Caenorhabditis elegans: one gene and its partners. The protein of the gene in region 1 purifies or fractionates together with the protein of each later gene. This does not show direct contact. Each region holds a gene or a part of one and is shown in the gene's direction. Other genes may lie near its edges.

Region 1 (7,883 bases):
GATTTCGCTTTGAAAACATAGCGACTTTTAAATAAATAAAGTTGGGTACGGTAATCGTGGCGAGACCCACGCAATAGAAAAATTCAACGCGCCTTCAAATGCGCGCGATTTTTAGAATTTTCAATTTTATAAAATTACCTCATTTTTAATATCAGTCATTTTTCCCGTGTTTTATTTCTTTCTACGCGAAATTTTCTTTCAAAATCATTTTCGACATTTTCAGAAAATGAGCCGACGAGCAATTCTTCGTCTGCTGCTCGCGCTGCTCGCGTTCCACTCGGCTGCGGAGGCGGCTCACTCGCCCGTCGCCGAGGTTGTGGGAACCGAGCAGTACCTGCTCATCGCGCAGCAGGACAACTACAGATTCGCCGAAGCGAACGTAGAAGCGGGACAATGCCCGCGGGTCATGGAATCCCCGAAAAGGTTTGTTTTGCCGGAAAATTTCGAAAATAATTTAACAAATGTTAATTTTCAGCGAGCCTATTCCCTACCGCTTTGTCGGCGTTCACCTGGTCCGAGATCCGGATGGCATCCATGCGCCGAGGGTGTTGACTGTCACAGAAGACAGTCTCACCTACAATATCAAGATCACGGATTTGCATGTATGCTTATTATAGTGGTTGAAGTGTTGAATTTCGTATTTTTTAGATGTCGAATGGCTTCGAGAAGAACTCCGGGAAGCGGGAGGAGAACATTGGGTCAAGAGAGTCGATCTACCGCGAAGACGGGGCTCGAGGAAAGGCGAAGAGAAATCTGGCCCGTTCAATGTTCGACACGACTCGACACATGCTTTACCTGGACTTTTCAGCTCCTCCATTCTACGATATCGAGCAAATTTACTTGCATGGCATTTTCAGCGGTAATCACTTGCTTAATAAGCCTGCCTTTTAATCATAATTTTTTATTTTCAGATCGATTCGACAAGCTGCACATCGCAAAGTACACTGGCCACGCTGTGAATGGACTGTTCGATTGGGTCGAGGATCCATACACCGATGCAGTTTACTACAAGGAGCGAATTAATGGCCACGTGGAGATGTTCCAAGCAAAAATCAAAGATGTCGTGCCGATTATCACCGGAAAAATGGCTGGACGACGAATCGAAAATTCCTTGTTGAGCGGCGAACTCCAAGGTGTCTCGAACGGAGTATTCTACGAGACGAGTGTGAGAGATGTCAACGAAACGCATCAGACCCTGTCCTCAACGCTGACAACACTCGATTCGGAATGGAGTATCACTTGTAACGCGGAGACGATTTACAGTGTTGTTCCGAAGACCAACAAGCTCCTCATCATCAGGTTTTGAAGAAATCATCGATCTTCGAATTTAATATTCATAATTTCAGGGCCAACGATTATTGCATGTTGAGAGATGGAAAGAATTACAACAAGGAGAGCTGTGAAAACGAGCAGGCAGACTACCTGGCTCGCAATAATCCGTCTGAGGTGAGCTGGTTGTGTTGAAGAAATTTATAAATTAAATATATTTCCAGACCGACAGCAATGTGAACGCGATGATGTGGCTGATCGTGTTCTGCGTCGTCTTAATCCTTCTCGTGATTCTCCAGTGCGTCTACATCTTTTGGCTCCGATCGTCCTTTGTCTCGGCTGACGAGGCCTCTCATCATCAGGATCAGGAGACTGAAGCCTCCATCTTCATCGCGAAACAGCGCAGCTTCCCAGCGAGTTTCCATGAGCCAGGACTTTTGGATGTCTCCGTCGACAAGTGGAATTAAATCATTTTTATTTGAATTTATAGCATTCTCGTTCTTTTTCAATCTTTTCTAGCCTTCTATCCTTCTAGACACTAGACACTGTCATATTCTCATCTCATAATTTTTAATTTTTTACTTTTTTTTTTGTCACATTTCCTAGCACTTTCTGTTTCTTTTTTTTATATAAAATTAAATATTCCGCATTTTTATTTGTTTTAATTAATGATCTTTATCTTAACGTTGTTTATTCACCAACACTATTTTATTTTTGTATTCGAGTTTTCGAGACGCATCGATCACGTTTCTCCAAGTGCACACGGGTCAAATGGTGGGCAGTTGCAGGTCTCTCCACGTGCTGTGGCCGTCTCTTAGTCTCTTGCACTATCACTTTTCCCACTCTCTGACTCTTTTTTATTTCTTTTTCTTCTTTTTTTGCTGAGAGAGAGAGAAAAGCAACTGTTCTTCTTCTTCTGTCCTATTTGCCACTCCTCCCGTCGTCTTATCAACAGCATTGAAACTTCAAAAACTCGCAGATAGAGCTTTTAACCTTTTAATTTTCAATGTTCGCGTGTATTTTGTGGCTTATTTTATTTATTTCTTAGTTCAAAATTCGAAACGTGATCAGTAATGTTTAGTTTTCATTCATTTCGCATTATCCGAATCGTCAGAACCACCACGCGACCGCCCATCTCTTGTGATTTTCAATTTTTCTTCTCGTGCGTTTTCAGTCATTATCTTCTAATTTTCAGCTCTAAAACTTGCGGTACCCCAGAATGTTGTCTCGTCTTGCTCGTGTTCAGGTAGGAGTTTCTTTTTATAATATTTTTTAACAAAAAATCGTGTACTTCACACATCACTTGCAGTCTGTGCGACAGTTGTCGTATGGGGTGACACATTGAAAAAGAAAACGAAAATCAAACAATCAAAACTTCAAAACTTCAAATAATATTCTAATTTCAGCCAAAATGCCAACAGCTCGCCCACTTCAGCACATCGAAGTCTGCTGCCGCCGCACCAGTGAGTTTCAGGCTTGATCTTAAGTTTCCAAATCCAAATTCCATAATTTTTCAGACTGTCAAGCTGTGGATCGATGGACAAGCTGTTGAATCGAAGACCACCGACTTCGTGGAGCTCACCAATCCAGCCACCAACGAGGTCATCGCTATGGTGCCAAACGCCACCCAAGCTGAGATGCAAGCCGCTGTTGACTCGGCCAAGAATGCCTTCAACACCTGGAAGAACACGTGAGTCTTGAATCCCGTGTGATCTTTTTTTTTTATTTCAATAATAGAAGTTTCCAGATCCCCACTGACCCGTCAACAATGCATGTTCAAACTTCAAGCCTTGATCAAGAGAGACATGAAGAAGCTCGCTGAGAGCATCACCATTGAGCAAGGAAAGACCCTTCCAGATGCCGAGGGAGACGTCAGCAGAGGTCTTCAGGTCGTCGAGCACGCTTGCTCCGTTCCATCCCTGATGATGGGAGAGACCCTTCCAAATGTCTCTCGCGACATGGACACCCACTCCTACAGAATCCCACTTGGAGTCACCGCCGGAATCTGTCCATTCAACTTCCCGGCTATGATCCCATTGTGGATGTTCCCAGTCGCCTTGGCCACCGGAAACACTATGGTCATCAAGCCATCCGAGCAGGATCCAGGAGCAGCTCAGCTTCTTGTCGAACTTGCCAAGGAGGCCGGAGTTCCAGATGGATGTGTCAATATTATTCACGGACAGCACTCTGCTGTTAACTTTATCTGCGATAACCCAGATATCAAGGCTATCTCATTTGTTGGAGGAGATGCTGCTGTAAGTTTTTTTGAATTTGTTTTTTATGAACATTAATCAATTTTCATGATTTTTTCAGGGAAAACACATCTACGAGCGTGGAGCCAAGAACGGAAAGCGCGTCCAATCCAACATGGGAGCCAAGAACCACGGAGTCATCATGGCTGATGCCAACAAAGAACAGACCCTCAATCAGCTCACCGCTGCCGCCTTCGGAGCCGCCGGACAACGCTGCATGGCTCTCACCACCGCTGTGCTCGTCGGAGAAGCTCGCGCCTGGCTCCCAGAACTCGTCGAGAAGGCCAAGAACTTGAAGGTCAACGCTGGATGGAAGCCGGATACCGACATCGGACCACTGATCTCCAAGCAATCCAAGGCCCGTGTCCTCCGTCTTATCGAGAGTGCCAAGAAGGAGGGAGCTCAGGTTCCACTTGATGGATCCAATATCACTGTTCCAGGATTTGAGAATGGAAACTTCGTGGGACCAACGATTCTCGCTGGAGTCAAGCCAAATATGACTTGCTACAGAGTAAGATTTTGTTTTTTTTTAAATTTGTTTAATTTAATATTTAATTTTTTGTAGGAAGAAATCTTCGGCCCAGTCCTTGTCGTCATGGAGGCCGAGAACTTGAACGAGGCCATCGAAATCATCAACAACAACCCATACGGAAACGGAACGGCCATCTTCACCAGCAACGGAGCCACCGCCAGAAAGTTCACCAACGAAGTCGATGTCGGACAAATCGGAATCAACGTGCCAATCCCAGTTCCACTCCCAATGTTCTCGTTCACCGGCTCGCGTGGTTCATTCCTCGGAGATCTCAACTTCTACGGAAAGGCCGGAATCCAGTTCTACACTCAATGGAAGACTGTCACTCAATACTGGAACGAGTCGCTCACCGAGCTGAAGCCACAAATGTCGTTCCCACAGCTCAAGTAAATTGAAATTCTGTGAATTCTGAATTCTCTCATCCATCCCCACACACAATCACTTCTTGGTTCTTTTATTCTTGTTCAATAACGTTTATTGCCATGGTTTTTTGCAACCTCTCATTTCTTGTTTGTTCATATATAATACACATTTTATCATAAAAGTGACGATTAGACCCGTAAATGGAATGGGGGAAAATAATCACAGTTCAGAGAGAATCGTATTCGAATGATTGAAATCATAATCAAAACGTGGATAGTAACTATTCGGATCGGCAATCTGTTTATCATTCCGTTTGGAACGAGCCGCCGTGGGTTCGTCGATTTCCAAATCCGATTCCTCATCCTCCTCACTATTTGAAGTTGGATCTAGCGTGACGGCGATTATGATTATACCTGGAAAATATAAAATATTATTGGGACGTAGAAAAAATGCCCAATCAACGTGAAAACGCCCTCCACGGCAAATTGAAAACGCTCCGCCTCCTAACCGTGGGTCTCATTAGGTATTCTACCAAAATTCAGCATTTTCAATTAGCTTCAAGTGGTAACTTTCAAGTTACCAGTTTTTCCTAACGAGACCCAACTATTTGAGGCGGAGCGGTTCCAATTGGCCGTGGAGCGCATTTTCTGCGTCTTCATAATAATCTAACCTGTGATAAGAAGAGCAACACTGATAAGTGATACGATAAGCACCAATGCTACCGAAACGGACATCGACTGTGGTGCATTGTTGTTGAATGGACTGGCGACCGTCGGCGACGGGATCGCGCTGTCCAGAATTCGGCGGGCTTCCTCGTCTGAAAAAATATTTTGAGGAATATTGTTGAATTTTGTAATTTTTTCACCAAAAAATACGGTACTGCTAGGGTCTCGACGCGACCGGAAGTTTTCTGCAGGAAAATTGTGTGCGCTTTTAAAGACTACTGTAGTTGTGAAATTCTCGCTGAATTTTTCAAAATCGTATTTTTCATAAAATATTGATATATTTCAGATTTTGTAAAAATTCATTTGCGAAGATTGCGAAATAACGGGAAATGGGTTACTGTAATTTTAAAGGTGCATACTTTTTGTTGGGTAGATTTGAAAATATTTTGATCGCGTCGAGACCTTTTTTTTATGAAAAAACGTAATAACTTATAATTTTCGATGTTTTTTTAACTCTAAATAAGTTTTATAAAATTTTGCGCCTTTAAACAACTGGTTACTATAACGAAATTTCGAAAAAAGCCTACCATTTGCATCAAAAGCGATCACAATTTTGGAATTCGCATGTGAGACGGCCAAATAAATGAAGGCGACAAAAATGAAACAGGTCAGTAGAATAATACGAACCACGCAACGCATTCAATCATGAGCAGGTGCTGAATGTTATGACGATCAATCTGGAAATTGAGATGGAATTTTAGGGAAACAAAATGAATTATATCTCCTTTCCCATTGTAGGTAATAAAAAAATGTAGAAAATGTAGAAAAAATTGTGTACTACATTTTTCCAGTTGACAGTTTTTGTCTACCTAGCCTGGCAATAAAGTTATGAGCGTTTGAAGACAAGAAGAATTTGTCATACGAGAGAGGGGAAAGGCCGTCGTCGATACATAATGAATATTGGCCCAATCAATTCGGAAGTCCCTACTTCGCATACAAAACATATGGACTCGTCGAAGCAGAACGGGACTGCTCAACTCGGAGCACACATGCACACAGAGCAGGAGAGAGTCCATTAATTTTGCGGCGGGCGCCTCGCCTTTTTCTCTTTTCTCCTTTTTCCCTAAAACATTCTCGACTAATGATGAATGGGAATGACAGGAGAGAATGCAAATCCGTTCGGGAAAATGGGATTTTTGGAAGAAAATTGGGTACGGGTACTGTAGCTTCTAATCCTAGGTTATTAGGGAAAAAACGGGGCTCTGTAATTTGTTTTTCAATTTTTAGAATAAGGAAAATAAGAAAATAATTAGGATCTGTATTAGGCTTTTGACATAGGCTAGGCTTACGATTACGTTTGGGCTTGGGCTTAGTCTTAGGCTTAGGGTCAGGCTTAGGCTTAGGCTTAGGCTTAGGCTTAGACTTAGGCTTAGACTTAGACTTAGGCTTGGGCTTAGGCTTAGCAATGAAGCCGACGATAAGGTAAATTTATATAAAAGCCAATGTTATAAAACTCGGCCACTGTCTTTTTGTGGCTGTTAAAAAATCTATGTGGCCGCGAAAAAAATTAGTGGCCGAGTTTTTCTTTCTTTCACAAAACTGATATCAAGTTCCTGTTTTCTCAAGTTGCTAAATTGCCATATTTTCGCGGACACGTAGCATTTTATTAGTGGGCGTGGCCAAACGAGACTCCAAATGCCGTTTTTGTTTTGGCCTGGTAATCGCAATCCCGTCGGGCCGCGGAAGTGAAAACTCGGCCACAATATTTGCTTTTTGTAATCAGTCAAAAAACTCGGTCATCGATTTTATTTGCGGCCCCGTAAGTGGTGAGTCCAAAGCGAAAAGTCGGGAAAGTGCAAGAAGCGAAATTAATTTAATAAAAAAAAGGGACAGAGTTCATCAAATTGAAAATTCGATAGACTGACAAAAATGACTTTTTTTGAGGAATAGGAAATAAAAGTTAATTAAAAAAGTTTAGAGCTTTTGCGAAATGGCCGAGTTTTCGCATGAACACGCACTTTTCAGCAGAAAAAAGTACAGACTAATGGAAAAATATTCAAATTGTTCGCACGCATGTGTAGGAGTATTTCCGATAATTGTGTCAAAAATCATATGCAACTTTAGGTTTCAAAAATTTCCAAAAATATATGAAAACTTCCGAAGAAAAATTTAAATTTCCAATGAGAACATTTCAAAAATTCTGCAAAAAAACCGGAAACCCCCGCTCGGAAGTTGTGATATCTGCAGTTCGCAACAAAAAATAGATAGCTCCACGCCCTTCCATTTCCGGCGGCGGGAAATTGAGTTTGAGTTGTTTTGGAATAGGAGGAGGAGATGAGAATAGACATACAGATAATGATCATGTTCTTTTAGTTTTTTAGTTCGGGGTTTTCGGCGATCTAGGCATACTGATAAGGTTATATACATTTTGGAAACTGACTCGGCCATTTGGGAAATTTCAAAGTTATTGCCAAAATAGTGAGTGTTCGAAAAATTAAGTTTTATATTTAATTAGGAAATCATGTGCATATTTATAATAATGATTACTTTATTTTATTTTAATTGTTTTAATTTTGTGATTAATATTTTGTTAGTTTGTTTTGGAGATAAATTATTTTAAATTAGAAAAAGCACATAATCGGCCCAATTTTCTCCGAAAAATTTTCATATCTGGTCAGTGGAAAAAGTTATCAAAAAGTTGCCAACTAAGTAATTGTTGCAAATTTAATTTTAAATAGTTTGATAGTTATTATTTTTTTACAAAAAATTTAAGCACAAATATCATATTATAACGTTCCAAAA
Region 2 (6,709 bases), on another chromosome or scaffold:
CGAAAGTTGATGTCAAAGTGAACATTTTGACTTTTCTACAGTTCCGGTTCAGCAGTTTTTCCGGCGCCAAAAATAGGTTAAATGCCGCGAAAATTGTCAGTTTTGTCTCACTTTCGAAATTTCGAAACATATTTATCAAGAACGAGGCTGTCATTTTCAGTATTTAAATTTGATTCGATTTCACTATTTTAACTTTACCATTTTTCCTACATGGCGCTCTTTTGGAATTCTTTGAAATTAAAAAAAAAATATTATTTTGAAAAAAATAATTAATGAACAAGTGTTTTCCCTCCAAGACGCAAGAATTATTTTTCTGTGTGCGCCTTTAAAACTTACAGTAAACCAGACGGTCAAATTTCTTCATTTTTATTGAAATTATTCAAAGTTTTCTGATTTCTAGAAATTTCTTTTTTTTTCCTAATTTTCTAATTTGATTTCAGCCCAGAATGAAATTGATTATCGAGGAGAACGCCGATAAAGTCGCCGAATTCGCTGCTCGATATGTCGTTACAAAGATCAATGAAGCGACTGAAAATGGAAAATATCTCGTCTTAGGACTGCCAACCGGCTCAACTCCACTCGGAATGTACAAGAAACTCATCGAATTCTACAATGCCGGAGTTATCTCCTTTGAAAAAGTGAAAACTTTTAATATGGACGAGTATGTCGGTGAGAAAAATTTGATATTTCTTTAATTAGTTGAAATTAATAAATATTTCCAGATCTTCCACGTGACCATACAGAATCGTATCACTCCTTCATGTTTGACAACTTTTTCCGACACATTGACATTAATCCAGCTAATGTAATTTTTTTGATTTTGTTGTTTTTTTTTTTTCGCCAAATGTGGTTCCAAAGTCAATAATTTCAGATTCACATTCTCGACGGAAATACGTCTGATCACGAGAAGGAGTGTGAAGAGTACGAGCGTAAAATCAAAGAATCTGGCGGAATCGATTTATTTGTCGGTGGAATTGGTCCAGATGGCCATATTGCGTTCAATGAGCCCGGAAGTTCGCTGGCAAGCCGTACACGTATCAAGACCCTCAACGAGGATACAATTCAGGTGCGCGCCAGAAAAATTCTCAATGGAGCGCGCCGTGTTGTGTCGATTTACGATTTTTCTTCAGTTTTGTCGGAAAAAATGTTCCATTGACAACAATAATCCGACGAAATTGAACGAAATTTGTTGGAAAACGTCAATCATCTCGTAAATTGACATGTCACAGCGCGCTCCAATGAGAATGTTTCTGACGCGCGTTTGAAAGTCGTCTTAAAATAATTGAATTTTTCGCGCTACATTGACAATTGCCTGCTGGAAAGTCGTGTACTCCACACGGACAAATACATTTAGCGTTGCAACTAAACCCCGGCCTTGGCCGAGTCAAAATGAGCCAGAACCGCGTGTGCACATAGATATTTGGAATCAGGAGTAAAATAATAATTCCAGGCTAACGCTCGTTTCTTCGGTGGAGACATCACAAAAGTGCCAACACAAGCTCTGACAGTCGGCGTCCAGACTGTAATGGATGCTCGTGAAGTGATGATTCTCATCACAGGATCACACAAAGCGCTGGCTCTTCATCAGGCAATCGAATGCGGAATCTCTCACATGTGTACGGTCTCTGCGATGCAGATGCATCGATGTGCAACGTTTATTGCCGACGAAGATGCCACGTTGGAGTTGAAAGTGAAGACGGTCAAATATTTCAAAGGATTAATGAATCATCATCGTTCACTTGTCATGTTTTAATCTGTATTACTTTTTTTCATGTACCCTTCCACTAATTTTCACTGTAACTTTCACTGTAACTTTGAATACTAAATATTGAACATTTTGGTACTCATTATTTGCCCATTATTCTTCCCGAAACATTTCAATAAAATTGAATTTTGAAAAATATTTATTAAACTTTCACAAACAAAACAATTAGAACAAGAATAAATACCAAAAAAAAAATGTTTCACCAATCCTCATCATCCCCCTTATTTCCACGTTGTCCCTTCTTATTTTTCGCCTTCTTCTGTCCTTTTTCTCCTGGTTTGTTGATGAGCAACGTGGCGTGTCCGGTTTCTTGTAAATGAGCAAATAACCTGGTCCGGCTATCGAATACCTCACGGCATTTATCACAAATTGCAGATTTTGGTTCAGTTGACTTCGGTGCTTCTTCCTCTACTGTCGCCGATGGGTTTTGATTTTTATCAGCTGAAAACAAAATTTTTGTTTTTGTTTTAAAGATTTTGCAATTCTACAAAATGTACCTCTTCTCTTCTTTTTCTCTTTCTTAACAACTTCCGGGGTACATTCCTTTTCCTCTTCCTCCGGCTGCTCATTTTCCACGGGCGGCGCTTCCTGAATCTCGGCTTCTACTGCTTCTGTTTCTTCCACATCAAATATTCCATTCCCCTTTTTCCTATCCTTTCTCTTATTCTTCTTTCCTTTCGGTGTTTCGTCGGGTTTCGGTTCTGCTTCGGTGAAAATCGTGGAATCTTCTTCTTTCATATGCTTTTTCAGCTCATTCAGCTGACGGATGTGTTGCTTCGAGTTCTCATGATTCAACTTGGCGTTTCTGAAATTAAGTTTGAAGAATATTATAGAGATGAATATAATCAGACTTTTGAAATTGAGGTGCAAGCGCGCTCCACGGACAAAAGTTGGGTCTCGTTAGGTAGTGGCGGTAAATCCATAATTTTAAACGTTTTCAATATTTTTTCGTATTTTTTGTCTCTCACTTTTCTTCAAGGATTTTCATTTTTTTCTAAAATAATCAAAAAATCAAAAAAATTATTTTTCAGAAAATTGACACACAATTTCAACTTTTTTATAAAGTTTTGTATATTTTGATAAGAAAAATTAGTCTTTTTTCTTTTTTTTTATATCGGAAAATTACATATCGATTTTTTTTTAGTTTTGGTTCATTCCAATTCGAAAAAAAAATTCTCGATGTTTTTTTAAAAATTTTTTCAATATTTCAAAAAATTTGATTTTTAGAAAAATGACCTCAAATTTTTCAATTTTTCTTCTTTTTTTTCATTTTTTAAACGTTTTATTTAGATTTTTCGATTTTAAAAGATCAAAAAAAAATTTTTTAAAGGAGTTCCGATAAATCTATAATTTTCGTTTTTCAATTCTCAATGTTTCGATTATTGTGCATTTTTTAAGCTTTTTTTTAAACAAAAATCGTTTGAAATTAAGGTTTTGCAGCCAATGCCTAACAAGACCCAACTTTGGAGGCGGAGCGATTTAATTTTTCCGTGAAGCGTACTTGCATCTCCATTTCAAAAATGGCATTTTTCTGCGTCTTTATAATATTCTGCTTACACAGTTTTGAACGATTTGCTACAAACAACACAATATGGAAGTTCTTCTCCTTCTTCATCACATTCATCACTACAAGTATCGTAATCCTCGGCCATTTGTAGACTAACTTCAATCAAATGAGCAAGACGGGCTGCCTCGGCTTCTTTGTCGTTCAGATATGAGTTGGCTAGCCTGAAAAATTCAATTTTTTCCTTATTTTTCACAATTTCGGAACTTACTCTTGATTTTTGGCGATCTGCTTTTTTCGATTATCAGCTTGTTTCTTATGTGCTTCCAATTTTTTTTGCTCCAAAATTTCCCTATATGCTTTGACACGTGGATCACGTTTTCGAACAAAAGCGACCAGATTCTGAAAAATTTTGTTAAATTTAAATTTAAAATTAAATATTCCGGACAATCATACCCTAATTTGCTCGTTCCTTTCCTGCTTTCCGACATCCCTAAACTTCTTATTTTCCTGATCGATTTGCCGTGATTCGAATCGATTTGAAGCCTGTGTGATATCATAATGATCCAGCCAGGCAAAAGAGCGAGTTGTCGAAAAAGAGCTCCAAAAACCGTAGAAACCATTCACAGTTTGCTCCAAATCGGTATCCTTGTCGCCAAACTCTGGATAGACTATTGTTGAATCGTTGTACGCATCATATTCCTCAGAAACTAGGATATTGAAGACTTTCCGGTAGACAGTGAAGAAGCCCTGTAATTTATAATTTTGATTTACTTTTTAGATTTCATTCTCACATTTTTATCGTTTTCATATCCTTGATAGCAAGAAGCGGTGAAATAGGGGAACAAATCCGTGGATTGTTCCTCGAAATCCGTATTTTTTCCCTTCAGAATACTTTCTCTATGTCTATCGTAAAATTCGCGTTCTCGTGGATCACTCAAAACGTCGTACGCAGCTTGAAGAAGCCTAAATTGCTGAGTACACTCTTCGATGCGATCCGGATTTTTGTCGGGATGCCATTTGAGCGCTAGTTTTCTGTAGTTCTTTTTGATTTTATCGTCATCAGCGTCGCGTTCAACTTCGAGCACTTCGTAATGGCATTTCATAGCTGAAATATTTAAAATTTACTCTAAATATGATTTTATTTTATAAATTGAAATGAATAGTTCATGCGAAACCATTTAAATAATAATAGAAACAAGAAAAAGAATTAAATGAAAAGAAAAAGTTATCTATCGTCTCTCCTTTCCACACGATGTCTCGCCATCTACATTAGAGCGCAATTGTAAAAAAATAATTTCCTATATTTTTTCCCACGATGTTTTGACGAATTCTGAGAAGCTAATTCACATTTTCCTGTTGTGATTCATATTAAATGTTGTTGAGCTAAATAAGAGCTATCGATTGATATGTCTGCCAAATTTCTTGCAAAAATATAACTGATAAAACTCTCGATAACAAAAGTTCGTTTCGAGTTCAAGCTCGGAAACCGATTTCCAAAATGTTGTTTCATCTTTATTTTCCTGAATTCCATCAAGTTTTCCCTCATTTAACATTAAAAATCTGTGTCTCTGATCACTCGTTGATACCAGTATCACATTAAAATCGTCCTTGACGTCGTCCACGCGGCCAATTTGTCCTTCAACCTCCATATTGTCATTCTTTACTTTTTCCTTGCAGTTTCGAACAATGTCCAGTGGAAAAGTTATCGTATACGGAGGCAAAGGCGCACTTGGATCTGCTATTCTTGAATTCTTCAAGAAAAATGGTTATGTAAGTTTTAAAAGAAATTGAATTAGGATGTTGTAAATTAATTTTCATTAATTTTCAGACTGTTCTAAACATCGACTTGAGTGCCAATGACCAAGCTGACAGTAATATTTTGGTGGACGGAAATAAAAATTGGACAGAACAAGAACAATCCATTCTCGAGCAGTAAGTTGTATTTTTAATTTAAAAAAAAGCTACCGTAACCTCATAAAATATTTGCAGAACTGCTTCATCTCTCCAGGGAAGTCAGGTTGATGGAGTTTTCTGTGTTGCCGGTGGATGGGCTGGAGGCTCCGCTTCTTCAAAAGATTTTGTGAAAAATGCTGATTTAATGATCAAACAATCGGTAACATATATTAATCCTAAACATCTGGTATTATTCTACCGTGAATTTTCAGGTCTGGAGTTCAGCAATTGCAGCCAAATTGGCCACCACTCACCTCAAGCCGGGAGGTCTTCTTCAGCTTACAGGAGCTGCTGCTGCTATGGGACCAACTCCATCAATGATTGGATATGGTATGGCAAAAGCTGCAGTTCATCATCTGACATCTTCATTGGCTGCCAAAGATTCGGGATTGCCTGACAATTCGGCCGTTTTGACAATTATGCCAGTCACTTTGGACACCCCAATGAACAGAAAATGGATGCCAAATGCTGATCATTCAAGGTAAAATTAAATTACTCTTTTTCTTTTGCATAGTTTTCTATGTTTTTTTTTCAGCTGGACTCCACTCTCATTCATCTCTGAACATCTTCTCAAATGGACCACAGAAACATCGAGCCGTCCATCTTCCGGGGCTCTCCTCAAAATAACCACTGAAAATGGAACATCGACTATCACTCCACAATAATTTTACCGACATTTTTCAGCCTTTTTTACATTCCGCTTATTATCTGTTATTTTTCCATGTAGTATGCTATCAATTTCTAAATCATTTGTCCATAAAGCTTGTGATGTTTTTAAGTAAAAATGTTTTATTATCTAGATGCGAAATATTGCAATTTTTCTGCTGAAAATACGGTACCGGTCTCGACGCGACAATTTCTTATGGTTTTTTTTTAGTTCCCTATTTTCTTTAAATTTATAGAAAATTCTACGGCAACAAAATGTTACAAAATTACAGTACTCCCTAAAGGCGCATCCCTTTTCGAAGTTAATCAAAGTTTGTCGTGTTGAGACCGAGTACCGTATTTTCGGGGCAAAAGTAAAAATTTGCTAGAAACTCGCAAAAGATTTTATACAAATTACGTTGAAAATAACTTTACCAAAATATTATGAATTCAGAGAATGGAAAATATACCTTGGAAGGGGCACACCACTTTTGCGATGGGTCCTGAAACGATTTTAATTAAAAATCTACAACATATTGTTCATGCTCCTTTAAATTACCGAAAAATTGTTTTTTTTTTTCGTTTTCTTTTTCAGCGTATTATTACATAATTCTTGTCCCAAATCTTTAGTTTAATTCGTCAATTCTCACCATATTGATATGACAAGAAAACAGAGAAACCCGCAGTTTATTAGTCACTCCCATATCATTTTCTCTCTTCCAATTCTCCTCTATCTGTTTGCAGAGAATAAATCTTCACACTTTTTTCTGTTCTTTTTTTCTCGATTTTTGTTTCAAAAATAATTTGTTCACTCCCGCCGTTCTTCGGGGACGGAACTG
Region 3 (8,386 bases), on another chromosome or scaffold:
ATCGATTTTGTGATGGTTTTCGAGATAGTAGCCAATATAGGTTTCCAGACTGACACGGACAACTGAAAAGGATCCGCCCCCAAACGTTGGGTCTCGTCAGGTATTGGCGAGACAACCGGGAATTTTTATGGTTTTTTGCCGATTTTACTAGTTTTATGTGTCGAAATTAAGGAAAATCAAATTAAATAACGGTTTTCCCTTTTAAATGCAATTTTAAAAACATAATTTCGATATAAAAATCTTGAAAAAACACGAAAAAATGCTTGAGAACAGGTGAAATCGGCAAAAAAGCGGTAATACCTAACGAGACCCAACGTTTGGGGGCGGAGCTTTTCCATTTGACCGTGGAGCGCGCTTGCACCTCGATTTCAAAAATCGCATTTTTCTGCATCAAAATTTTACGATTTTTTTCTCCATATCTCGACACGACAAATATTTGTTAAATACGAAAAGGTGTGCTCCTTTAAAGAGCACTGTAATTTCTCGTTTTGGAATTTTCATTGACACAGTACTCTTTGAAGGCGCACATCTTTTTACATTTAACATACATTTATCGCGACGAGACCAGGCACCGTAGCTTTGGCACAAAAATAGCAATTTTTTCAAATATCAACTACAGTAACCCACAGTTTGACATGGATTTTGAAATAAAAAAGTTTGCGCGTCAAATGTGATGCATTGAGTCATGTACCTAATGCACCACAGTTTACGCGCAAAAAAATTTGGAAAAGTTGAACTCCTGATGTGTGATGTGTTATCAGGAGCGGAGAAAACAAAATTTGTATTTTTCTCTGGGTCTCGTTTTTTTAGGATGCCGTTTATTATTTGTTTCAAAGATTTTTTTTTCAATTTTCAATTTTCAATTTTAATTTTAATTTTGATTTTGCAGGTCAACCATGCCCGTCGCAATTGTCACAGGTAATAATGACTCTAAATACTTGAAATTCCATTCCTCTCCCCTCTTTTCCAGGTGCAAGTTCTGGTATTGGACGTGCGGCGGCTCTTCTTCTCGCCCGGAACAACTACAAGCTCTCACTTACCGGACGGAATGTGGCGGCTCTCAATGAGCTCGCCGGGCAAATTGTCAGTGCTGGAAGTGATAAGAATGATGTACTGGTGACCGCTGTTGAGTTGGCTTCAGAAGAAGCTCCGAAGACTATTGTGGATGCGACTGTGCAAAAGTTTGGACGAATTGACACATTGGTGGGGGGTTATTTTTGGAAAGTTATAATAAAATTTAGAACTATTACGGGAACATAAAAATAAATAAAATTCTGAGAATTCGTACTGCACAACATATTTGACGCGCAAAATATCTCGCAGCGAAAACTACAGTAATTCTTTTAATGACTACTGTAGCTCTTGTGTCGATTTACGGGCTTGATTCTCATAATCAAGATAATAAAGCCCGTAAATCGACACAATCGCTACAGTAGTCATTTAAAGAATTACGGTAGTCTTCGCTACGAGATATTATGCGCGTCAAATGTGTTGCATTACGCATTTTCAGGATTTTGTGTTCCCGTTATAAAAAATTTTAGTTCAAAATTCTTTTTGAAAACGTAATAATTGCGAATTTTGTAAAAAAATGCACAGAAAATTATCCAAATGTGAAGTTTTGCGACTACTATTGCGTTACAAATACGGTATCTGGTCTCACCACGACTAATTTTTGCAACTTGTAAAAAGGTGCGCGCCTTTAAAGAGTACTGTATTTTCTTTTGTTTCTGCGGAATTTTCATCGAATTTTATACTTTTCGATAAAAAACTGTTTGAAAAATTAAAATTTATATATAAAAATCGAAGGAAAATTTGAAAAAATTCTGTAGTATATGCGAGTACTGTAGCTCAGTTTTGCACCCAAATTTAATTATTTTTTTTAAAATTAAAATTATTTTTGTCGCATTTCACATTAAGATTCAGAGATCTTAGAATTTTTATTTTTTAAAATTTTTTGAGAAAAAAGTTTGCGCGCTTTTTTAGATACTTTTTTTTTCGAATTTTCCAAATTTCTGCCTAAAGAGTTTTCTCATTTTTATTTTCGAGAAAAATTGCACCAACCTGTAAAAAGAAAATATGGGGATAACGAAAACATTTAAAAAAACTCTCCAACCGATTCTTGAATTATTAAACCCTTAAAATATTCTAAATTTCAGATCAATTCGGCCGGGATTCTGCGTGCCGGACCAGTTCTCGATTCTGGAATTGAAGTCTACGATGAGCTAATGAATGTGAATGTTCGTAGTTTGATCCGCCTGACACGTGCAGCTCTTCCACATATTATTACAACAAAAGGAACTGTTGTCAATGTCAGCAGTATTAATGGACCGTGCCCTGTATGATGTTATTTTTTTGTTGAAAATAATTTTCAAATTCGCAATTTTCAGTTCCCAAATGTAACCTATTACTGTATGTCCAAGTCGGCCGTAGATCAATTCACAAAATGTTTGGCTCTCGAAATGGCTCCGAATGGAGTTCGTGTTAATGCTGTTTGGTGAGTTTTCTCGCGATTTTTGCCAAAAAACTACGGTGCCAGGTCTCGAAGCGATCGATTCTCTTTAAGGAGTACTGTAATTACGATTTTTTCGGTTTTTAGGTTTTTTAAAGAAATATTCGAAAAATAAGAAAACATATACATTTCTTCCAAAAAGAAGAAAAATTGTCAAAATTTCAAGATATTTTGCGAAAAATCGGAAAAATATTTATTTTTGAAATCGAAAATATTTTTGGCTTTTTTTTTTTCGAAAAATCGAAAAATTATCGGAAAATATGAGTAAGAACGAAATCACAAAAAAAAACTAGGAAAATTTCCTGAAAATTCTAACTTTTTGCCGAATTTTCATAGGTTTTCTTGTTTTTGTTCAAATTTTGATGCATTTTTATATTTTTTGAATAAAAACGAATTTTTTAAAAGACAGGAGCTAAACTATGGAAAATTGCTTTAAAAATCTCGCAAAAACTAGGAGTAAGTAACTACAGTACACTACAGTACTCCTTTAAAGGCGCACGCACTTTTGAATTGAAAAAAAAAAGATCGCTTCGAGACCGGTTACCGTATTTTGGTGCAAAAATCGCTAACTTTCTCATTTTTTGTCGAATGAAACGCTAACAACACACGTATTACGGGAACACAAAATTTTGGGAATTCGTCTTACGCAACATATTTGACGCGCAAAATATCAAAACTACAGTAATCCTTTAACTGACTACTGTACTGCTTGTGTCGATTTACGGGCTCGATTTTGGAAATTAATTTATTTTCTTCGTTTCTTCGTATTATTTTCTCATTTTCAATAATCTTTTGATAAATAAAAAAACCCGTAAATCGGCACAAGTGCAACAGTAGTCATTTAAAGAATTACTGTAGTTTTGATATTTTGCGCGTCACATATGATGCGCAATACGCATTCTCAAAATATTGTGTTCCCTTAATAAACCCATATAAATTTGTCATTTCTCCAAAAATTTCAGCCCAGGGGTCACCGTGACCAACCTGCATCGTACATCTGGTCAAGACGAGACAACATATTCTGCGGTATAAAACCTGCTGCACTGACCTTGACAAATAAATATCATCATTTCTTTCAGTTCTTGGAACGTAGTAAAACGACACACGCACTCGGCCGTCCCGGTGATGCCAATGAAGTTGCTGAGGCAATCTATTTCCTCGCCTCTGAGAAAAGTTCATTCACTACTGGAGAACTTCTTCGTGTTGACGGAGGCCGCGGAATCATGCATCCGAGATAAATATTAGCTTTTTTGTCTCATATTGAGATTGTTTTGAACTTTTATCATGTAATAAATAGAGAGATACATGTATTTTTTTTAATTGTGTTTTTATTGAATCCTTTATAGTGGTTTTTTCCTTGCTTAATTTTTTTTTTTTTTGAAAAAAAATCGATTTTTTTTTGATTCAGTTTTGAATTTATTCAGAGTATCCGAAAATGCCAGTCGCCATCATCACCGGAGCAAGTTCGGGAATCGGAAAAGGCACGGCTCTTCTGTTCGCGAAAAAAAAGTACCAACTCTCGCTGACCGGAAGAAATACGGATTCTTTGAAGGAAGTCGCAGCACTATGTATTTCAGAGGGTGCAATTTCGGCTGATGATGTGAGTTTTATATTTTAGGAACTGTGACGGAAAGTACAGTATTACGGGAACACAGAATTCTGAGATTGCGTATTGCGCAACATATTTGACGCGCAAAATATCTCGTAGCGAAAACTACAGTAATCCTTCAAATTACTACTGTAACTCTGGTGTCGTAAATCAACACAAGCGCTACAGTAGTCATTTAAAGAATTACTGTAGTTTTGATATTTTGCGCGTCAATTATGTTGTGCATTACGCATTCTCAGAATTTTGTGTTCTCATGATAGCAGTTATCACAAAAAAATTTCGATTTTTTTTCCTCGTTTGTAATTTTTGGAAACACCGTTTTTTTGTCGAAAAAACAAAAAAAATTATTTTTTTAATTAAAAAAAACCGCCGCCATGGTCTTGACACATACAAAAAAAAATATTAAAACTCATCGAATATCAAGAAGTATACTAAAAATCATTAAAAATTACAAACACTTGCAGGTACTGTAGCTATGAATTTTATTATGTCGTTTCGAGACCAAAAATCGCAAAATTTTGCAAAAAAAGGGGATTGAACGTTTTTAGGTGGAAAAAATAGCGACATCAATTAAAAAATCGATTTTCATTCCAGATTCTGATAACTGCAGTGGAGCTGAGCTCTGATGAGGCGCCCAAAGCAATTGTGGATGCAACTGTACAAAAATTCGGAAGAATTGACTCATTGGTGAGGATATTCAGTTCGAAACAATTTGAAACTATCGAGAGAAAAGTTTTTCGGAAATTTAGAGTTTATCCATTTATTATTTACAAAATTTTCAGAAACGCGTACATAGAGGATCACGGATTTATTCGGTTGGGTCTTGCCACGAAAAATGTTTTTGCGCGGTGAGACCCAACTAGATAATTGCGTGCGCCTTTAAGTTCGTATCCCAGGAACAATTGCGGAACTACAATAGGTTTTTTTTCAATTTTATGAAGTCAATACTATTCAAAATTTAAACTTGAAAAATAAAAAACTTCACTTTTCCAGGATCCATAGTTTTTTTTTCGAGAAATTTCCCATTCTACCCTTAAAATATTCTAAATTTCAGATCAATTCGGCCGGGATTCTGCGTGCCGGACCAGTTCTCGATTCTGGAATTGAAGTCTACGATGAGCTAATGAATGTGAATGTTCGTAGTTTGATCCGCCTGACACGTGCAGCTCTTCCACATATTATTACAACAAAAGGAACTGTTGTCAATGTCAGCAGTATTAATGGACCGTGCCCTGTATGATTTTTCTTTTGGAAATTAAAAAAAAATATATTTCGAATTCGCAATTTTCAGTTCGCTGGGGTCACATATTACTGTATGTCCAAATCGGCCGTAGATCAATTCACAAAATGTTTGGCTCTGGAAATGGCTCCGAATGGAGTTCGTGTTAATGCTGTTTGGTGAGATTTAAATATTTTCATATTAAGAGCCCAAAAATTGAGAATAATTAAAATAAATTTCAGCCCAGGAGTCATTGTAACCAACATTCATCGAGCATCTGGGCAGGATGAAGCTACATATGCGGCAGTAAGTCTATTCTAACGACACGCAAGAAGTAATGGGCGGAGTCGGAAGCGCAACTCCGCCGCACGATTCTATTTTAATTAAAATTTTAACTGTTTTTTTAAAATATTCACAGCAAGATCAAATAATTAAAGTAATTCTAAAGCAAGATTTCGATTATTCAACCTGACAAATTAAGATAAATTGATTGTTTGATTTTTAAAAATGCGGAAAAATAGACGAAAAACAGTGCGGCGGAGTTGCATTTTCAACTCCGCCCATTATTCCTTGCGCGCCCTTTTCTGTGGGTCAAATTCTACACAGCGACATTACGGGAACACGAAATGCTGAGAATGCGTACTGCACATCATATTTGACGCGCAAATTATCTCGTAGCGAAAACTACAGTAGTTCTTTGAATGACTACTGTACTCGGTAGTTTGGCTCCCTTGGCGCGCGACGAGGGTGCGACTGGCGCGCGGACGGGGCGCGACTAGACTACTGTCTCGCGATCTAGTCGCACAATTTTCGCGCGCCGAGCGCATTTCTTTCGCACACACTACGCGCCCGGTTCGATTTTTTTCTCGCTCCCGCCGATTTTCATATTAAAATTGAAATCTTAGATTAATAAGAATTGCGTTTATTACAACAACGAACAATGGAAAAATAAAATTAAAAAATTAACGGATTGAAGACAGCTTGGCTGCAGGTCAATTGAATCCTAGACGGCGAGAGACTGGTGTTGCAAACCAGCTAGAGCTACTATGGCAGCGCCGAATGTGATTTTGGAGAGAAGATTCGAGTCGTTGAGGTAGAAAACACGACGGAGATGTGGATAAACTGCCATCATGGCGAGCTGCTCGAAGATCGGTGAAGAGGATTGACCAATCTGAAATATTAAGACGGTGAAACCGCAGTTGAAGCTTATAAGCTTATAAGCTAGCCTACATTGCCCGTCGAGAACTTGATTGGTTTCGGGAGCTCAAATTGTCTACAGAATTCCTCCGGCGGCACTTCCCAACGCTGGTCAACTTCTTCCCGTTCAACTTTTGTGGCAATCATGACACACGGCGTTTTTGTTCTGTAAATATTGAAATTATTGGGAATTGGATCTTGAAAACCCACCTATAGAAATATTTCTGATAAACTGTGGCGCAGAACGCGAATGAATTCGAGACATCATAGAGGAAAGCGACGACGGCCGCCGACGTCTCGCCGGACCCCAGCGCATCTTGTGGTGAGAGAACATCAACTTCACGCAGAAGCAGGTACTTGCTCTCCTCTTTCACTCGGACACGATTGATAACGAATGGAGAATGACGACGTCCTATTTGTGCTACATCAGCCATTCCACGTCCTGCTAGGGATTGCATGAAGACTGTTTTTCCAGCGTCCTTGGCTCCGACTACCAGGCATTGGAAGACTTTTCGGTCGGTTCCATGGTTTTCTAGATCCTTCTTCCGTTCACGAGTCACTCTGATCGAGTCGAGTGTATTCCCAGCACGACCTGAAATTACAAAAACTGAATAAAATGAATTTTTAATGAAGATCTTTTTTTTCAAAATTTCCACCTGCCTGGAATTATATTTTTATTGAATTGTCATTTTTTCGTGCAAATTCGTGCAGTTTTAGGTCCGCTTCTCCTCCTTTATATAAAATTTAGTGAAAATCTCCAATTTCGCGGACTTTTACGTGCCGAAGTGATCGGAAATCAGTCAAAATTGGACGGACAATAACGGAAAAACGAGGGATAAGCAATCAAAAGCTGAAATAAAATGTATTTTATTTTTTATATTTTAACCGACATCTTTGGTAATAACTGGAACCGGGCATACTGAGAAGAGATTCTGAAGTTCACTCGGAGAAAGACATCCATCGTTGTCTCGATCGCAAATTTTGAAGACTCGAATCAGTGCTTTTCTGGCGCGATCTGTCAGTTGTTTGGTGTCTGCATCGTATAATGGCCTTGTTGGGTAGATCACAGCTTTCTGGGCGTAGTAGAAGATTTCTGAGACGTTTTTCATCGTGCGAGCCGAGCATTCAACGCAAGTTTCGACTTCGGTGTTTGCCTCCATTATGGGGAGAATCTTATCAGTATTATTTGCAGTCCCATCTGATTTGTTGCCTACCAAAATGACCGGAGTCTTATGGTACTCTCCGAAGGACTGGCGAATCAAGGGTAGCCACCTGAAAATTCAAAGTTATTGATTTTTTAACAGATAATTTCAATGAAAACGTACTTTGTTTGAATTCCATCAACAGTGGACTCGTCTGTAACCGAGTAGACGACACAAATGACATTCGCCTGGCGGATTTCCAACACAATCCAATTTTCATCTGAAAATTGATTGAATTATTTGATTTACATGTTTTTGGCAATTTATTTACCTTCTTCCTTAATCGATAAGTCCACGATACTCGTACAATTCCGAAAAGCTTGATTTTAGAGATACTTTTGTTATTGATGGAACAATCGGTGAAAATTTCACGGTCACCATATTTAACTTGAAGAAAAGCCCTGAAACTATACACTTTAGGCATGTTACTGTACAAAACAAAAAGAAAATAATATTTTTACAATGTTGGAAACAATTAAATAAAAATTATCGAAAATGTGCCAAAAAATTATAAACTGCAAGCGTAATAACGGATTGTCGTTCGTGTTGCGCGGACGGGGCGCGGAAGGGGTGCGGAAGGAGTGCGGAATGGGCGCGGATGGGGCGCGGTCAGAACGCGGACGGCGTGCAAAAACAGTTTCTCTTCGCGA
Region 4 (7,099 bases), about 11 Mb from region 1:
ATGGGGTCCCTGTAGAGTTGAGTTTCTTCAGGTAGTTTTCTGTAGGGAAGTGGTGATCAGTCAAGTGACATTAAAGATGAATAAACCTACAAAATTACATTTTACTTTATAAAAAATAGGAGATTCGTGTCAGAAGCAGGAGGTATTTCCGGCAGTCACTCTCTTTTCTTGATCTTCTGAAACATCGGGATACAAAGTGATATCTGACTTTTTAAATAATGTTTCAAAGATACATAGTGATCTGTGTTAGGTGTTGCAAAAGTCAATGACGTCATGCATGATTTTTCCGAGGCTCCGGAGAAAAGGAATGAAGTTTTTGGGATTCTATGAAAGTCATTTGATCATCGGCATACAAAGTCTGATACCTGAATTTCTAAATAATGTTTAATGAATGTGTGAAATTACGGAATCATTCGTATCAGATGATGCTAAATTTGGATCCAGAATCTTGTAAAAGTCAGGCAGATACGACAAATGTGTGTCGTTTAGTTGTTTTGAACATTTTTTATAAAAAAGGAAACGCTTTCAACTGGCTCACAGATTATCAATATGATTAAATTACCGATCTTAAATCTTTATCTAAAATTTCAAATCCCTTCCAGGAATCGCCGATGTTCTCCACTGCATCTGTCTCTTCTGGATGACATTTCAAAAGTATGTCATCCATGGGGACATTCTCGGTTATGTGACTCGTATGGCAAGCATCGGAACCTGTGTCCTCTACCTACTGAACATCGCTGGTGGTGCTATTATGGCAGTCAATAGATACTTTGCAACCTTCATCACGTTCCATAACGTATGTTGAAGATCTGAAGTTCATACAATTTCAAAACTTTCAGTCATTCTCCAAAAGAAACATTAAATTAATCTTGTCATTGTCCACTGTTGGAGCTGCAGTCTGCTCAATCCCCTCAATGGTTTGCCACAGAGTTTGGAGTTGGGATGGAAGTGCATGGAAATATTCAACTGAACCTGCTTACATGGGAATTGTAAGTGTTGCAAGATTTTTTTTCTAAAAATGTGTGGAGTTTCCAGATCCAAAGATATATCATCATTGCCTGGCTTATAATTTTCCTAACTATCACCTACGTCTACATTTTCATGACAAGTTTCCGAATCCGAGAGTTTCCAAGAAATGAGCGATACCACAAAAATGATCATACCCTGCTCTACTTCATCATCATCCACTCCTTTTTCCAATTCTGGATGCTTATGTACGAGCTCTTCGAGGCATTCACTATCACCTGGGGAATCATCATATTCATGCATGAATGGGTAACCTAAGTCTGCTCGCAGCCCCCTTACAAACTTTTTTTTCCAGTTCTTCGTCGTCTTCTACATGCTAACCGTCTCCAATGCAATCTTCATCTTCCTCTTCACACCACGTGTCCGCCGTGATCTCTCGAATTTCATGTGCCAAGTAATGGAAATTTCCATTCGAAACGGCACCTCTAACACCATCCCGGTGCTCAATGTGTCCGCAAAGTATTGAAAGGATTTTGATGTTATAATTTCTGTGAAATTCTATTTATTTGATCGTTTATTTATTTAAGTTACAACATTAATAATAATAAAGCATACAATCCAAAAACCAAGAATGACGATTCCTGCAAGCAAATGGAAAGCACCTCTAGATGTTTTGCAACTGCCTACCAGTTAGCATGTTAGTCTTATCATTAGTCTACGAACTGATAAGCTTATTATCGTTTGACAACAAGTTCCTCATTCAGTTTCGCTGCTATGATTCTTCTGGGAATCGTTTTACTTATTTCCTATGCTTTTTGTCAAAATGTACCAACTGTGATTTTGTCCGGAGAGTCGAGAATTGTTTCCAGGAGGATTCTTGAAGTCGATCTGGTAAGTGGATTAAGGGAATTAAAACATTATTAACCCGTCAGTTTGAAACAATTATATTTTATTCTTAAGGAACCTATACATCATGACATTCAAAACGGTTCTGTTCCTAATTTTTGTTCACTTATTTTATTGAATACATTCTAATTATTCTTGAACAAAATCTCAGCCTAAGTTATTCGTACAGTGTCGGTCCTGGAGCAATGAATCAAAGTTTAAAGAGATTTCAATTTACACAGTAAGAGCTTCGAGGCGAAGCCTCAAACCTGAATAGTCAAGTTTTCTAAACATATACCCCACTCCTGAAATAATTTCAAAGAGATCTCGAATAACCCGTTAACAGGTTCGAGGCAAAGCCGAGAACCTGCGCCAGCTACCTTGCTAATAACTTAGAGCGAATTAACCCTATCCCCATTCCCGAAGGGCTGGCGGGCCCATAGGCCCGCTAGTCACCTAAAATGATGATATCGGGTGGCAGGCATATATGGATTTTTTAACCGACCAGTTAAAAACTGATATTTTAAAAAGGTGATGCTAAAAAAATTGTTCAATCAATCCAATCTTCCAGGGAACAGCGCAACAACTACCTGTATTTCATGATCAAAACTTTGATAGAGTCCCTGTGCAAGTTGTCAACCGGCAGGACCCCAATGAACACTGCGACACATAGTACCCTGCGACAGTATATAGAAGAATCCTAAGACGAGCTAGAGTATTCAGAGATCGACAAGGACAGCTCACGGATCAATGGGAGCCGCTTGGAGATCCAGTGGAAGTGGAGTCTTGGACATTGACACGGAAACAAGGGAATACTGGAAAATGAGAAAATCGTCTTCAAGTTTTTCTCTAATATTGTAATTTTCAAGTTTTATTGATTAAATTTGGTTCATAAAAATTTATTTGTGTTCGACAACATGGGTGAAGCCGCATTGTTCCAGATGTGTAAAACTGTGTTGTCCTAAAAGATCAAAGACCCAAGCTTGACAAATCTGAAAAAAATGCTTTCAGCACTCCCCGCAAAATCACATGATTCGATCATCAATTTCCTCTTTGCGGTTTTATACAATACCTTCAGACAATAGGAACAATTTTCTGTCTCTTCCATATCCCTTTTCCCTTTCATTTCCCATTTATTTCCCTCTGTGTGTCCAAGTGCCTGTGTTCTTCTCCTTCTTCTTTCATCTTAACAACATCTTCCTCCGACTGCGTTTGTACACTTTCACCTGTTATTCCCTATTTACCCTCATATCCTAGATTGAAATCTGCATACTCTCCCAGTATAAATCAAAAGGTTTACTTTACTGTTTCATAGTTCCTTTTTATTAGAAACTACACATTTATATTACAAATAACTAGATGTTTCGGTGTTTTAGTGGTTATGTTTTTTTTAATAATTTTTATTACCTTTCTAGAATCTTCCAAAATTTTCTCGAATTATTCTGAAGGTTCCAGAACCTTCCAAAATTTTCTCGTATTTTCCAGATAGTTCTAGAACATTCCGGAATTCTATCTAATTTTTCAGAAGGTTTTAGAACATTCCAAAACTTTCTCGTATTTTCCAGATGGTTCTAGAACTTTCCGCAGCTTACAGGCACAAAATTAATCCGGTCTTGTCCAAATTCCTTCTGAAATCTTAATCTGTAGGCTACAAATTTCTCATTCCTATCGGACTTTCAAAATCTTTTTCGTAGAACTATTCGTCATTCAAATACATGCACTTTTAAAATTTCCTCTTTGGTTTTCCTTCCTCTTTAGCCTATTTCACCGAATTTTTGAGATCAATAATTCCATGTGTCCGATTTTCGAATAATTTAATATTCACTATCAGTTTTCACGTATCATAATTCTGGAAGTCGATCAAAAAACAATGTTTTGTACTCTACATTTCTGTATTTAAATATTGTAGAGGTTCACAATACATGTTCTCGCTCTTCAGAAAATTCCGAATTCTATAAATGTCGCGGAACCATAATTATTTGGCCTAAACCGATTTCAAATACCTATGTTAATTCTAGGTCAATCCGGTGGTTGTAAATCATCGACAATAACAATATATACGACCTACTGTACTAGTAGGTTGTAAATACTGTAGTACTACCACACCACAAGAGGCGTTCTCTTAGCAATACATTTGAACCTTGACCCTTGTTACGTCTCTTTCTAGGATAGAAGAAATCGGGGAGATGTACTTCAAAGGTGTGCGGTCTCAAAGGTCACAAAGGTGTCTCAAACATTTATATTATCCGGAAAATTTCCTCACCGTCGCTACCTCATAATTAACAAATTAAACACCTAAATAAATTTCAGCAAAAGAAAAATGACTCAAAGCGACTATATCGAAAGTTCGGAACACATCAAGGACACTCAAATCGGTTACTGTAAATACGGCCACGGTCCGAACTACATTCTCGCGATTTGCGGTGCTGTCGGCTGCTATAAAAAAGATTGGCCACTCAAATTGCTCTCTCATTTCCCACCAGATCAGGTCACAATTGTTGGGATTGATCCTCCAGGTTACGGTACCTCAAGACCTCCAGAGCGAAAACAAGAAGTTCAGAGATGTATGAAGGATAGTGAATATTGCCTAGGGTTAATGGAGGTGAGCTTTTAATTTTGAAATTAAAATTTTTACGTTTTCAAAAAGCCTCCAAATTTTAGACCCTGAAACTAGAGCCGTTCACCGTGATGGGGTGGTCAGAAGGTGCTAGAACAACGGTCCACGTGGCAGCTAAAGGAAAGGAAAAAGTGAATCGAATGATTGTAATGGCTGGTGCAACAAAAGTTAATCATCTAGGAGCCATGGCTTTCAAGGGTGAGATATTTAGATATATTTGGAAGATTACTGTTTTTTAATGAAATTTCTTAATTTGACACCAATATGGCCCATTTTTCCACATAGAAGCAGCAATTTATGCCTACCTACCTACAAGATTTTTTATGGGAAAATAAATCGAACGTCCATTTTATGGGTGTGGCCATCTATTGGTTTTGTGCTCTTTATAAATTAATTTTTGGAATTTCAGGAATGCGTGAAACAAATCATTGGCTAGCAGCCGGTCGTCAACCATATTTGGACCATTATTCGCCGGAAACACTCCGGACACAATGGGCGGCACTTTGTGACGTCGTAGATCAGTGAGTTTTGTGGGCGGGGCTTATGCGAAGTTGTGTATATTCCTGTAGGCACAAATATGTCTGCCAACTACCTTCAAGGCGACCTACGTCTGCTTCCTACCTAACCAAACGAATTTTCAGAGTTCACTCGTTCTGCGGTGGCCGTTTCCCGTGTGACCTGGTACTTCCACAAGTCAAATGCCCGACACTAGTGATGAATGGTGGATTGGACCGGTTCTGTGGTGACCCGAATGTATGCTTCATCCCAGTGCTCAAGAGTTTGGCAAAAGTTGAGATTCATGCACAAGGAGGACACGATTTTTATTTGAAATATCCCAAATGGTTTTCCGGAAAGGTTCTGGAATTCTTGAAGAGCACGGAGAAGAAATGATAAATATATGAAATTTGTATTTTGTATTTTGTGAAGAATAAAGTTTATAAAAAATTCGTCCTGGTCTCAAGCAATTTCGCTATTACACTCATAAGCTCCACCCACAAAATGACTGATTTCATTAGGAATTTTGCCAAAAGAAAATTTCAGAAAAAATTCTAAAATTTCCAGAAAAAAAATCTTCCCGTTCACAAAGGGTTTCTGTCCGAGCCTTGTGGGCGGGGCCCATGCGAAGCCCAATTAAAATTTTTGGGACAGTATACTTTCTGGAAACGTCCGTGAAAAAGTTTATACAAATTTATTTCACAAAAATAAAAATAATTACGGACTAGCGTGACTAACAGGCTTCCGGCGAACATTCTTTGCTCTTGTCGCCAAAAGTAGTCGTCTCTGCTTCTTGAGCACTCGAGCCAGCACTCGTTTCCTGTACTCATCCTCTTTATTGTACTCTGACACGTAACGGCTTTGGGATGCTGTGGCGTAGCTTGTGGACACTGTAAAAAATATGTTGAAATTTGAAATTTGAGTTTTTTTAGGCCGTAATATCAGCCCCGCCTACTTAATGGAAAAAAGTAGCCTACCTGGTGCCGGCTGCACATAACTATTCCGATTGACTCCTGCGTTCTTTGGTGGACACGGACAATATTCAGCATCCTGCCCCGGTGGCCCACGAACTCCTGGATAGCCAGTAACTCCAGGTACCCCTGGTTCTCCATCCTGTCCAGCTTCTCCCTGAACTCCAGGTGTTCCTGGTGGTCCTGGAGGCGGTGTATATCCAGGTGGCCCTGGTGGTCCGCATTGACCAGGAAGTCCTGGAGGGCCTTTACGGCCTGGTAGGGATATCTGACGGATCGAGTTATTTCCAGGCTCTCCCTTAAGGCCTGGTGTACCATTGGGACCTTCCCGTCCAGCTTCACCACAAGGCCCCGGTGGCCCAGGAAGTCCTGGAGGAGAGGTGTATCCGGGATTCCCTGGGAGCCCGGGAATTCCAGAAGGTCCACAAGGCCCAACGGCACCAGGAGGACCTTGTGGACCCTGGGGACATTGTATGCAACCTGGAATCTCTTGATCGTAAGCTATAAGGGTTACACCATTGGCTCCTGGACGTCCATCGAGACCCCGAGAGCCCGGTTCTCCAGGAGCTCCAGGGTAACCAGTGGGGCCTTGTGGTCCTGGTGGACAATTGTTGGCTTGTGGGGCACAATCTGAAAATTGAATTTTGTAGTTTGTAGTCTCGTTTTTAGTTTTTGCCCTTTTATCTTTTCCGTTTTTCGCAAAATTCTATAAAATTATAATTTTCTTCTAAAAAAAGAGATACAAGATGTTCAAATAGTCAAATTGTGACCAAACTCCGCCCAAAAAATGGATATTAGGCTCCGCTCACAAATGTATCTTGCTGAACGAGCTTTCCCATTTTTTAAACGAAAATTCTCACAGAATCCAAGCTCCGCCCGCAAAATGGATGTTATTTTTTGAAGAAAAAAAACTAACTGCATTGCTGTTGTGTTGGATGCTGTAAAACGGGTGCAGTCGCATAACTATTCACTCTTGCATACGAATTCACTTGCTGCGGAGCATAACTATCATAAGATCGTTTTGCCCAGAATCGTTTTCCGGCATTTCCAGAGTTTCCTGTCGTTGATGGACTTCTGGCTTTTCGAATTGTCAGTGACGTCATTTCATTCCACGCGGCGTCGGAGAAGTACTGGAAAACTTTTTTGTCCAGGTGCAGGCAAATAA

The links.
Region 2: the proteins of alh-8 (region 1) and qdpr-1 fractionate together in Caenorhabditis elegans (co-fractionation; one large-scale study listed by BioGRID). This does not show direct contact.
Region 3: the proteins of alh-8 (region 1) and Y47G6A.21 fractionate together in Caenorhabditis elegans (co-fractionation; one large-scale study listed by BioGRID). This does not show direct contact.
Region 4: the proteins of alh-8 (region 1) and K01A2.5 fractionate together in Caenorhabditis elegans (co-fractionation; one large-scale study listed by BioGRID). This does not show direct contact.

The regions. Positions count from the first base shown.
Region 1 is NC_003280.10:11,726,591-11,734,473, forward strand, and holds alh-8 (putative methylmalonate-semialdehyde/malonate-semialdehyde dehydrogenase [acylating], mitochondrial), read left to right. Parts: upstream 1-2,464; 5' UTR 2,465-2,488; coding exon 2,489-2,515; intron 2,516-2,675; coding exon 2,676-2,732; intron 2,733-2,786; coding exon 2,787-2,959; intron 2,960-3,006; coding exon of another isoform or gene 3,007-3,016; coding exon 3,017-3,524; intron 3,525-3,582; coding exon 3,583-4,032; intron 4,033-4,086; coding exon 4,087-4,443; 3' UTR 4,444-4,608; downstream 4,609-7,883. Other genes in the region: F13D12.5 (uncharacterized protein), read left to right, coding at 227-423, 476-602, 649-859, 912-1,299, 1,347-1,446, 1,494-1,736; F13D12.8 (Col_cuticle_N domain-containing protein), read right to left, coding at 4,636-4,829, 5,087-5,233, 5,669-5,780. UniProt on the Caenorhabditis elegans protein: Probable malonate and methylmalonate semialdehyde dehydrogenase involved in the catabolism of valine, thymine, and compounds catabolized by way of beta-alanine, including uracil and cytidine.
Region 2 is NC_003281.10:13,388,961-13,395,669, forward strand, and holds qdpr-1 (Dihydropteridine reductase), read left to right. Parts: upstream 1-4,949; 5' UTR 4,950-4,958; coding exon 4,959-5,042; intron 5,043-5,100; coding exon 5,101-5,204; intron 5,205-5,261; coding exon 5,262-5,385; intron 5,386-5,437; coding exon 5,438-5,706; intron 5,707-5,760; coding exon 5,761-5,890; 3' UTR 5,891-6,019; downstream 6,020-6,709. Other genes in the region: T03F6.3 (Glucosamine-6-phosphate deaminase), read left to right, coding at 447-669, 723-805, 872-1,066, 1,451-1,753; dnj-17 (DnaJ homolog subfamily C member 21), read right to left, coding at 1,965-2,206, 2,263-2,570, 3,323-3,493, 3,541-3,671, 3,726-4,019, 4,064-4,375.
Region 3 is NC_003279.8:3,555,355-3,563,740, reverse strand, and holds the start of Y47G6A.21 (DeHydrogenases, Short chain), read left to right. Parts: upstream 1-3,933; 5' UTR 3,934-3,944; coding exon 3,945-4,109; intron 4,110-4,712; coding exon 4,713-4,805; intron 4,806-5,172; coding exon 5,173-5,352; intron 5,353-5,409; coding exon 5,410-5,516; intron 5,517-5,579; coding exon 5,580-5,643; intron 5,644-6,338; coding exon of another isoform or gene 6,339-6,508; intron 6,509-6,567; coding exon of another isoform or gene 6,568-6,700; intron 6,701-6,744; coding exon of another isoform or gene 6,745-7,126; intron 7,127-7,194; coding exon of another isoform or gene 7,195-7,384; intron 7,385-7,454; coding exon of another isoform or gene 7,455-7,806; intron 7,807-7,859; coding exon of another isoform or gene 7,860-7,956; intron 7,957-8,007; coding exon of another isoform or gene 8,008-8,160; intron 8,161-8,386. Other genes in the region: Y47G6A.22 (DeHydrogenases, Short chain), read left to right, coding at 897-918, 971-1,203, 2,157-2,336, 2,388-2,494, 3,472-3,535, 3,589-3,747.
Region 4 is NC_003280.10:298,244-305,342, forward strand, and holds K01A2.5 (AB hydrolase-1 domain-containing protein), read left to right. Parts: upstream 1-4,161; 5' UTR 4,162-4,171; coding exon 4,172-4,453; intron 4,454-4,512; coding exon 4,513-4,666; intron 4,667-4,877; coding exon 4,878-4,989; intron 4,990-5,109; coding exon 5,110-5,359; 3' UTR 5,360-5,416; downstream 5,417-7,099. Other genes in the region: B0432.1 (Serpentine Receptor, class T), read left to right, coding at 603-796, 840-989, 1,036-1,275, 1,322-1,492; K01A2.6 (AMIN domain-containing protein), read left to right, coding at 1,741-1,857, 2,423-2,524; col-69 (Nematode cuticle collagen N-terminal domain-containing protein), read right to left, coding at 5,681-5,853, 5,941-6,564, 6,851-7,064.